Caenorhabditis elegans: one gene and its partner. The protein of the gene in region 1 interacts with the protein of each later gene in a pairwise test. Each region holds a gene or a part of one and is shown on either strand. Other genes may lie near its edges. The genes, in order: cpb-3 and daz-1.

Region 1 (5,462 bases):
GATTCCACCACCATGGTTTCCTTTACCAATGACTCAAACTTTCCCGTAAGTTTTTCGAATTTCACATTATTCATAAAATAATTTTTATATTTTTCAGCCCATCATTTTTTCCGCTTATCTCTCCAGGACCACATCCTTCTATCTCAGCTGCACTTTGGAAAATTCACAGCGAATCGATGAAAACTCCGATTAAACAAAAAGTTGAACAGGAAAATGGTTAGATTATTTTTTCGGAAATAAATATATATATATAATTTATTAATTGCAGTATCCCTTAATACGTCTACATGCCTATCATCTCCATCAATTTTTATAACTCCAACTTCTGATGATCGGAAGTTAAAACGACCATCTTCTCCTCGTTCAATCACAAAATCATCAGAAACTTCAATTAATTTAATTCAAGAAACTCCGGAATCTGTAGAATCAAAAAGACGAAGAAATGTATCAATAACTTCATCGAATAGTTCTTCTCCGACTATTTGGAGGCCTTTTTAATCTTAAAAATATTCATTATTTTACCACAACACACCAAATTTCTCTCAATTTCCAAATCTCAATTGTTTCCTACCTCTTCAGTCACTTTTCTCAATATTCTCGTTTTAAAACACGTTCAACGGGTTCATTTAACGGTTTTCAACCTTTTTTGTATAATAATACAAGTTTTGATCTAAATCGGAATAGATTATCATCATATCTAATAAAGTTTCAGGTTTGAATTCAACTAGACAACAAGTCGTACTATCGAAAAAATTTTATTCGAAAAAAAAATTAATGCGCAATCTGCGAGAAAATATGCAATTGGGGAGGATGTGAAAGAGTACTTAAGATGAATAATTTTATAAGTGATAAAAAAGATAAAACGTTACCTTCGATTCTTCTTGTATACATTAAACGAGAGGGAGGTAAAACGCAATGCGGAGAGTTTAAATCTACAGATGGGACCAAGAAAATGGCATACGAATTGATTGCGAATGACAAGGAAAAATGGCATCAGATTCGGATAAGAGTTGGGAGATGGATGATTAGAAACACAACAAAATAACAAAATTGATTAAAAAAACAAACAATTAAGAAGGCCCAAACTAAACGCTACAGGGGAAAACAAAAAAAGATGTTACAGATGCAATATGATTCACAGGGAGTTTTCTCATTCATAGTTTTCAGCAAACATAAACTACGTTGATTATTTCTACAGAACTACGAGCGACGGAACTTATATAAAATATTCGAATAGTAATGAGAACATGGCAATTTTTGATGGAAACAGGCAAGCGCTTACTGGCCGTAATTGGGAGAGCGCATCATTGCAGAAGGATGTTGCTGAGGGGGAATAAAGCCATAATAAAGGTTAGCGCCATAGTATGGTTGCTGAGGTTGCGAAATGTTGCTAGATGTCGGGTGGTTTGGAGAACCGTAGTATGTTGGTGGTGGAGTTAGGAATGCAGCCGAGTTGTAGTATGCTGGCAATGGAGAACCGTCGGACACACCTGAAATTTGAGAAAATGTAACAATTGAGTAAAATAATATGCTCCGCTTATAAAGTATTGAAATATTCCACTCACTCTTTTGTGGAGATATGACAGGAGTTGAATTGAAGAAGACTGTTGGCGGAGTCGAAAACTCTGTGAAGCTTCTTCTATTCTTGTTGATCTCACTTGGTGATGGTGTCATTGGTGGCTCAAAAACGGCTGGTTTCAACAGTTGTTGACCATTTTGAATATATCCATAGAGAGCTGACAATGTTTGTGCAGGTGCGCCGACGATGATAGGGAAACCTGAAAATTATAAAAACTGAGTTTAAGAAATAGATATTTTCCAAATTTTCGAAAAATAAAAATTAGTTATCTGTACCTGCCGAAGGAAAATGAGGAATCGAATTATTGACTTGAGAATTGTTAGATCCATTTTTCAACGACAAGCTGCTTGAAACTTGCGAACGACGAGTAGTTGCTCCTGGAAACGCTTTCGAAGCCGACGATGGTACAATCACTGGAATATGGACTTCTTGATCATCATCTTTTCCGTGATCCAATGCCCAACAGTTGTGACAGTAGTACTTGAAGCAATTCTTATTCCGACAGAAACAGTGTGCTGACTGCGAATTACATACCATACAGCATGTACTTTCGAGGAATGGATCTATCTGGACACGTTTACGGAATTTGCTGGTATAGACGTGCAGATATCCCATCTCGATGGCTTTGAAATACGCGCCATGTTCACGAAATGTGACACGTCCACTTCCAATCGGATATTTGAACTTATCCGTATCAAGTTGCACACATTCAACGGCTCCAAAACAGTCCTCCATTATTGAATGAAGTACTTGAGCTGTCATCATCCCATGTAAAGCTCCAACAAAGACAGTTCGTTTTGGCTCTATTCCTGTTTCGAGAAGTGTATCATCCTCACAAAACATAGAGTCCGAGGTAACCCATGGAATGATTTGTACCTGAAATGATTGAAAATTGAAATCATAGTAGAATATACGCAAAAAAGAAACATCACATATTGTGGTTGACCTACCTGCCGTATCTCGGTCGATTTCGATCTTTGAGCTCGAATCTTAAAGTACCATTCTCCGGCTCCTCCAATCTCTTGAGAACATTCGTGAAGTAGAGAAGCAACAGCGCGTTCATCTTCAAATATCATGTAGACGTACCCAGTAGCAGCTTGTCCAGTATACTGAAAATTTCAGTGTTATTTTTAACCGTTCAAAAAGTTCGTACCTTCGTTTGAGCTCTCAAACTCCCATTTGACGGAGCCAAATTTGATTGTCCACTGCGATAACGTGCTTCTTGTCCAGGCCATTCAACTGCACACGAACCAAATTCTCCAAATGAATCTTTTAAAGCTGCCTCAGTGATATCCCATGGAACTCCTCCAACAAATATCTTCCGTGAGAATGTTGGACTTGTATAATCTCTGGGCGGAAGCTCTCCAAACCAAGTTGCGTCGCTATCACGGTTTTTATTTCCATGTTCTTGTTGGAAGTTTTTTCTTTTCATCGGAGATTCCTCATTTGCAGATGTGAAGTGCTCTCGAGATGGAAACTGATTCATACTGTCAGAAGGAGACGATTCGGTTGAACTGCTGAAGCCTTTTTGCGGAGAATCTGTAGGAGTCTCAAGGGAACCACGAGGATTACGGTAGAGATTCCGATTTGCCTTATTGATTGGAACGGGAGCACCCTTCGAGATAACTATCTTCTCATATTCTCTAGTCATTTCAGCAACGAATGAACTATTATTTGTTTTTGTTGAATCCTTCTTTTGCTCTGCGTCTCTCTCGAAATTTAGTCGCCGAGCAGATTTCTTACGCTGTGAATTTCTTTCCGAGTCGATAGACTTCTTTGTAGTTCTTGAAGATCCAAAAATATGCATTCGATTCGACGAATTCGGATGCTCTGTTGATGTCCGGCGAGATGGTACAATCTTTTTGAGTAGGCGATTAGCAGGCGACGGAGTGGATTCATCTACTTTCGATGATTTTTTGCTTCCAACAGTGAGCATTTGAAGCTTTCGAAGAAATCCATTCTTCTCGTCTGTAGAAAGCTTGTCAAATCCTACATTCATGTTGTCTTCTTCGGTCGGCTTTACACTGTCCGATTTGTGGTACTTCTTGAACAAATCATAAACTGTTGCAGGAGTTGGAGATTTCTAAAAATGAAAACTTTTAAACTATTTCGAAAAACAAATTTACAAACCTCGCCAACTGACTCAACAGGACTGAGCTTTAACGAGGGCGGAATTTTGTTCTTTCTCTCGGTTGATTTCGCAACGATAGATCTTTCATTACCGATGCCTTCCACTCGGTCATTCAGGTTCATGGTGAATGCTTTTATCAACGGCAGCAAGTCTGAAAATTAGAAATGTTCCCTTGAGTTCAAGAGCGAAAGTAATTATGCTCAGGCGAAAGTTATTAACTACAGGTTCTTCAAACTTGTTTTTAACGAAAACATTTTCAAACTCAAATTGGAAGAAAGAATTTTCCCTAAAACAACACGGACAGAATAAAAAACTGACAAAACATTTCTAAAAACTGATTTTAAAATTTTGGGATTTTCGAAATTAAAGCATTTTGAAATTTGAATTTGCTTAGTGTATGCACACAAAACATGATGAACGACGCGATGTTACACAGAACATGTGCTACAGTAATTCTTTCGTAAAATTCAAATTGACTTAATTTAATTTTTATATACATAAGATTTTAATATTATAAGATGAATGAGATTTAATTATTTGAATTGATTGAATTTAAATATTAAAATTCATTAAAAAACACGTTCTCAGCGTTCACTATTATCAAATTTATGAGTCACGAATAAACAGATGACCAGTTATTATCGAGTGGGCATCGTGCCAAGACAACTGAGAAGTTAAAAAAAACTGATAGTGAGTCCATCTGAAAAGATTTTGAAAGCTTTAATTAAAACAAAAATTTATCAGATTTACGAGACATTGATTGAATACTGATCTGAATTTATAAACATTCCAACTATTGAAAACAAAAATGAACATATAAACCTAACAACAAAAAATATATTTTAAAAATTCGGGAAATTTAAAGTTGAAATGCCAAGACGATCAGATATTTTGGGGAATAAAAGGGGGCTGAACATTATCAGAAAAATAATACGTCAAGATTGATATTTTGCAGAAATTAAATTTAGAATACATTGCTTCACCAAGCTTCCTCCGGTTCCTCGGTATCAATAGATTTTTCGAATTTATTAGGATTGGAGGTCCCTCCTGCAGCTTCCTTCATCCAGCTTGGCACAACTTGTTCGGCGTCAGCTAGAGTTCGCACCAACTGCGGCAGAATTTGAACATCGTCTGCCAATGATATGAAGCTAGTTGCTCTTCCCGAGTTTCCGACTCGTCCAGTTCTGAAAAACGGTAATTACAAAAAATAAAACATTTCAGGAAATAACCAACCGGCCAATTCGATGGATATAATCATCAATGTTATTTGGCATGTCGTAGTTAATAACATGATCTACACCTTTAATGTCAAGACCACGCTCAACAACAGCCGTGGCGATGAGCACTGGCTTAGCTCCACTTCGGAACAATTTCAAAGCAGCCGACCGTTCTTTTTGCTCGCGAGCACCGTGAATCTATAAAAAAGAAGAATGGAAATACACTACTAATATACAAACGAACTGTAATCGCTGGAACTTGGGCTGCCGACATGATACTGGCCAGAGTGTCTGCCATTTTTTGTTGAGCAACGAATACAATCGTTTTCTTCACAAAGACATCAGAATCTAAAAACATATATGACGATATTGAAAAGTGAAAGTAAAACAAACTTTTCTCGGTGGTGTAGGTGTCAATATCGATACCGAGAAGCTTCAAAAGCTTATCCACTTTTGATGTTCTATCGCACAACTCGAACTCTTGAATGACACATTTGTTGGCGGCTCCAATTTTATCGATTGTAATCATTGTGTA
Region 2 (4,649 bases), on another chromosome or scaffold:
TACTGTAATTTATAACTTCCGTTGATGCAGAATTTTCAGAAATTTTTGGTTTTTTTTCGCGATTTGTTGAAAAATATTTATTTTTTTTTTGGCTTTTAATAAATAAATATTTTTTACTCGAAAAAAAACTGAAAATCAATGATAATTCTGCTACAACCAAAGTTCGAAATTACAGTACTCTTTAAAGGCGCATACCCGATTGTATTCAACGAAAAATTTATCGTGTCGAGACCGGATACCGTATTTTTGTCGGAATAATCACCAAATTTCGTGTCCGGATGATTTGCATTTCTAAAGCTACAGAAGTTAAAATTGTTTTTGCGATTTTTAATATTCACCCCTTAAACTCTTATAATTTTAGAACAAACAATGAAAAAAGTCGAAAAATGTCTCAAAACGAGAACCGATCGCCGGTCGGATCGCCTTGATTCTCTCTTTGAAATCACAATCAACATGAGGCAAAGTGTTATGAAAAGAAGATCGTTTGAGAGACATCATGGAACAATGAGACACCGAGAAAAGAAAAGGTTGTTAGCGTGTGAAAAGGGAAATTGATGATATCGGATGGATAAGAAAAGGGGATTGCTTCCGGTAAAAAGACGAAGGAATTGAGAATTCCATGAAATCAATGAGTTCCGATGTGAGTGTTCCGTGAACCATCCACCAATTTTTGTGCTTCACTCGATGTCCTCGACCTTGCCTGAACAATTTGTGGATTATGAACATAATCCACGGCAGAAAAAAATAAGAAAAACACTTAAGTCACAATCTTCTCTGCGAAAAGATTTATTAAAATCACACACAAAATTCTACTTCGGATTTTTTAGGTGTTAAAGTGGACAATTTGGGTGATTCAAAATTACCATGTAATGCGAGAGAGGGGCTACTGGTGTCATTATTGTGATTTCATTTTATTCTAAATTGGGGGCATACAAAAACATTTGAATACTATGGGAATGGGGAACGTGGGATCTAAATTCAATCTTACTAGAAGATATGAAAAGATCGATGGCTTCAGAAGCACATTATAGAATGGAACAATATTCGTAAGGAAGATAATTTGGATAGGAAAAAGAGAAAGAAACTAGCTAATTCTAGTATTTGAATCAAATATACAGTTGCGTATAGGATACAAAATACGTGTTTTAATTCTTATTTGGTAGGCACCAGAGCAATGGAATAGAAAACTACCTAAAGGACAGAAAATACTAATGACAAAAATGTAGAATTCGTATTTAATTATTCTTAGTGGGCGAGGAAATGGCTAGTGATTGGAGGGATGCTGAAAGTGGAGAAAGATGAACTGGATATCTGTGGTTCTTCTGATATTTCGCGTCTGGAGTCGAAGCTGATGACGATGGTCTCTCAGTGCGAGCTCCTGTAAGAATAAGAATAATATTTAAAAAAATGATTACTTTCTTTTAAAACTTGAATAAAAACACTGTTTCGAAAATCTAACCTTTGATTGGGCTTTTTGTCTTCTTATCCTGACATTCCGATGGTTTCCGGCTCTTCTTGCCTTGGCGTGGAGCTTGGAGGGGAAGGGAGAATGTATTTTCATTGTTTCCCATCGTGTGTTGTTGTGAAAAATTTCCCGGATAATTTTGATAGAAGTAGTTTGACGGATTTTGTTTGAACTGATTCATATCTCCAGATGGTCCAACCCAGTTGTTGTAGGCGGGATTATAGCCAGCGTATGCATGACTTTGATGGTGCTGTTGTTGCTGTTGCCAATAGGGAGCGGACATCATTTGTGGATATTGACCTGGTGCCAGTGGAGGAGTCATGTAGGAATAACTCGAATGGTACATTCCTTGGCTGTTCATGTACACCTGAAATTATATATTCGAACTGGTTAAAAAAAAGATAAATTATTGAACTCTACTACTTTGTAAAATCTGGAAATTACGTACCCCAGATTGAGCAAACTGTTGATATGGATGAGGACGGGTGTAGCCTTGAGAATAATTTTCATTATAGTAAGGACCTCCGTTGTTCGAGTCCATTTGTTGTTGCTGCTGCTGCTGCACATTGGAATTCCACTGCTGCTGACCTTGGGAATACTGAGTGTTCAACACATTTTGATTTGGAAGAAGTGGTTGTGGAGAAACTGATTCATGCTTTTCAGGGGAAACTTCGGACTTTTCAACTCCTATAAAAATTATATTTAAAAGATTTAAAAAATTGTTTACAAAAAACCTGCAACTGCACTCGCATAAGATCTTATTGGATCTTGATCTCCACCGAAGAAGACTTGTGGCGATTGTTGATGTTGCAGATTAGTAGGACTATTCTGCGGAGTAGTTTGTTGCTCAGATTGCTGCCTGCTTTGATCCTGACTGCGTAACGGAGGATAGACGAACATCTGAGGCGAAGCAGGATAGGAGTATCCGCTATATGGACTTGGAGATGCCGGAATGGCGTAGCTGAATGGTCCTGGAGATGCCGCAACGAGCTGACTTGGAGTGGCGATTGCGTAGCCTGTAAATTTTTTATTTTAGTCACTATAGAATTAAAGAAAAAAATCTTACTTGGTTGAAAACTATTGGAGTTTATTTTTCGGATCGCTGGACCTAGGTTGAGCTTCCTGCTACGGAATTCCAACTGCTTTGGAGTCAGTTTACGAATTTCCTCTGCTTGATCTTCGGTTTCGAAGGTGATAAATCCGTATCCCTTTGACTGACCATCAAGTGATTTAACCATTTTGACGTCCTTCACAGCGAAGAATTTCTCGAAATGTTCACGCAACTCAGTTTCTGTGGTCTGAAACAACCCGAGAGTTAGGAAGAACAGAGAACATATCAAGAAATTCACGAACCGAAGTTGGGAAGCCACCAACGAAAATACGGTTTGGAATCAGCTCGTATGTAGGTGGTGCTGGTATTAGTGCGGCTGCTCCGGTTGGATAAAGTTGTATCGGAGTTGATGGAAGAGAAGTCGGTGTTTGTGGCATGAAAGAGACCATCTGATGAGCAGCTTGCTGTGATTGATTTTGCTGATGTTGCTGATTTTGTTGGTCTTTTTGATACCGTAGAGGCGGCGACATCATAACCCGTTCGCTTTGATTCCAAGAACCTAAAAAAATGAATATTTATTAAAAAATGCTCAAATTGGGATAATTTTTAAAAAATACATTTAAATGAACAACAATTTAAGATTTTCGAAATTCTAACCATTAAAACTAAATTATTTGTTCAAAGCAATTTTTAGAACACTTATTTCTTGAAAATAAAGGTGGAAAGAAAAGGTTAATAATTAAAATTAAATCAAAGCGAAGTTAGATGTGCAGGTCAACATCAGCTACCGTACTGCACGCGCCAATTCAAAATACAATTTCAATATTTTCTAACTGTCTTTTTTCAAAAAGCTTTTAATTATTGTGTTTCAGAAAGACAATTTAATCTCATGAAAATATTTATTGTTTCGATAAATTTCACTGCAGGGGGAGTTGACAAAAACCAGAAAAAAAAACAAGAAACGAAATAAAATTTCACAAAAATAGATACAAGAACATGTTATTAGAAATTAAAATTTGTATGTAAAGCACAATTTCAGAGGGAAAATGAAAATTAAAAACAACTATTCTTTTCAGTATTAGGCAGTGGCCGAGTCACGAGTGACAGTTTTCTTTGTTGTAGGCACCACCGTTTCCTCATTCAATTCTTGAAGTGAAATTTCCTGTTCTGGGTTATTGCTCGTATTGTGCAATTCTGTCACACGTTTTCTCTGATGATAGTAGATTGGCATGATAAGGTACTTGAGAATAGTCCATGGGAACAGGTGGAATCCGAGCATTTGAAGCTCATGGTTCAAACATCCAGCAGTCTTCTTCGTCAATCCAATTGAGCCAACCGCCTGGTGGCAGAAGTTTTCTGGTGTCACAACGAATGTAGATCCTTTCTGGAAATAAGATTGTAAATTAATTTTCTAAGAACTTCGCAAATAACTGCTTACCGTGTAGTAGGTCATTTTTGTGGCGACCAATGCAGGGATCAAAGTTTGAACATTGATTGTACTGTACTCGCGATCAATCGATTCGCACAAGAACGTCATCAAAGCCTTTGTTGCACAATAAGCCGCAAGCATGGGTATTGGCCGTACTCCTTGTGAAGACGAGAGCACAACAATCTGTCCACCTCCAGATTTCTCCATTGGTGGGAGCACACATGATAGGAACTCGGCTGCACCCATTCCATTTACTCTCAATATTTGAGTGTCCTCATCTGGATTGTCTCCATATCTTTCCAAATTGTCGCGACCAGTTCCAACGCTGTTCACTGAATGGCAGCTTTGAATAAATATATTCAATGTTTCTTGGGATTTTCCCGTCAAAAGTTAGTCATATGAAACAGAATGTTTACAGAATCTCCATCTGTCAAATTACAATTACAGTAACCGGTTTTACTTGAGTTTTTCCTAATGGTCAACTTGTGATAATTGAATTCGCAAAACCACAAATGGCAGGTCAAGTTCTTTAATCTAATTGGGACAAAGTAAACATTCTTATTTATATTTCTTTCTAAAGTTTGAGACATTTTTCATATTACCAACTGAAAAGTCTCAATCCATATGTTCATTATTCAGGAATTTTCCAAGAAGTTTTAAGTAATCAACTAGCCAAATCTGCCCTACATTCCCTCATATTATTC

The links.
Region 2: the proteins of cpb-3 (region 1) and daz-1 interact in a two-hybrid assay, tested with the Caenorhabditis elegans proteins (one study listed by BioGRID).

What each region holds. Positions count from the first base shown.
Region 1 is NC_003279.8:5,787,892-5,793,353, forward strand, and holds cpb-3 (Cytoplasmic polyadenylation element-binding protein 3), read right to left. Parts: upstream 3,862-5,462; 5' UTR 3,833-3,861; coding exon 3,710-3,832; intron 3,663-3,709; coding exon 2,733-3,662; intron 2,689-2,732; coding exon 2,530-2,688; intron 2,456-2,529; coding exon 1,855-2,455; intron 1,779-1,854; coding exon 1,566-1,778; intron 1,491-1,565; coding exon 1,279-1,490; 3' UTR 743-1,278; downstream 1-742. Other genes in the region: Runt-related transcription factor rnt-1, read left to right, coding at 1-45, 98-216, 269-498; ATP-dependent RNA helicase glh-3, read right to left, coding at 4,690-4,894, 4,944-5,125, 5,172-5,275, 5,321-5,462. UniProt on the Caenorhabditis elegans protein: Cytoplasmic polyadenylation element binding protein that binds to and regulates the translation of specific mRNAs. May not be required for oogenesis.
Region 2 is NC_003280.10:5,454,731-5,459,379, reverse strand, and holds daz-1 (DAZ protein 1), read right to left. Parts: upstream 3,076-4,649; 5' UTR 3,047-3,075; coding exon 2,819-3,046; intron 2,764-2,818; coding exon 2,532-2,763; intron 2,482-2,531; coding exon 2,200-2,481; intron 2,153-2,199; coding exon 1,914-2,152; intron 1,833-1,913; coding exon 1,460-1,832; intron 1,379-1,459; coding exon 1,236-1,378; 3' UTR 771-1,235; downstream 1-770. Other genes in the region: putative oxidoreductase dhs-5, read right to left, coding at 3,595-3,900, 3,955-4,277. UniProt on the Caenorhabditis elegans protein: RNA-binding protein that plays a central role in oogenesis, but not for spermatogenesis. Required for meiotic entry and germline differentiation, at the pachytene stage of meiosis I of female germline regardless of the sex of the soma.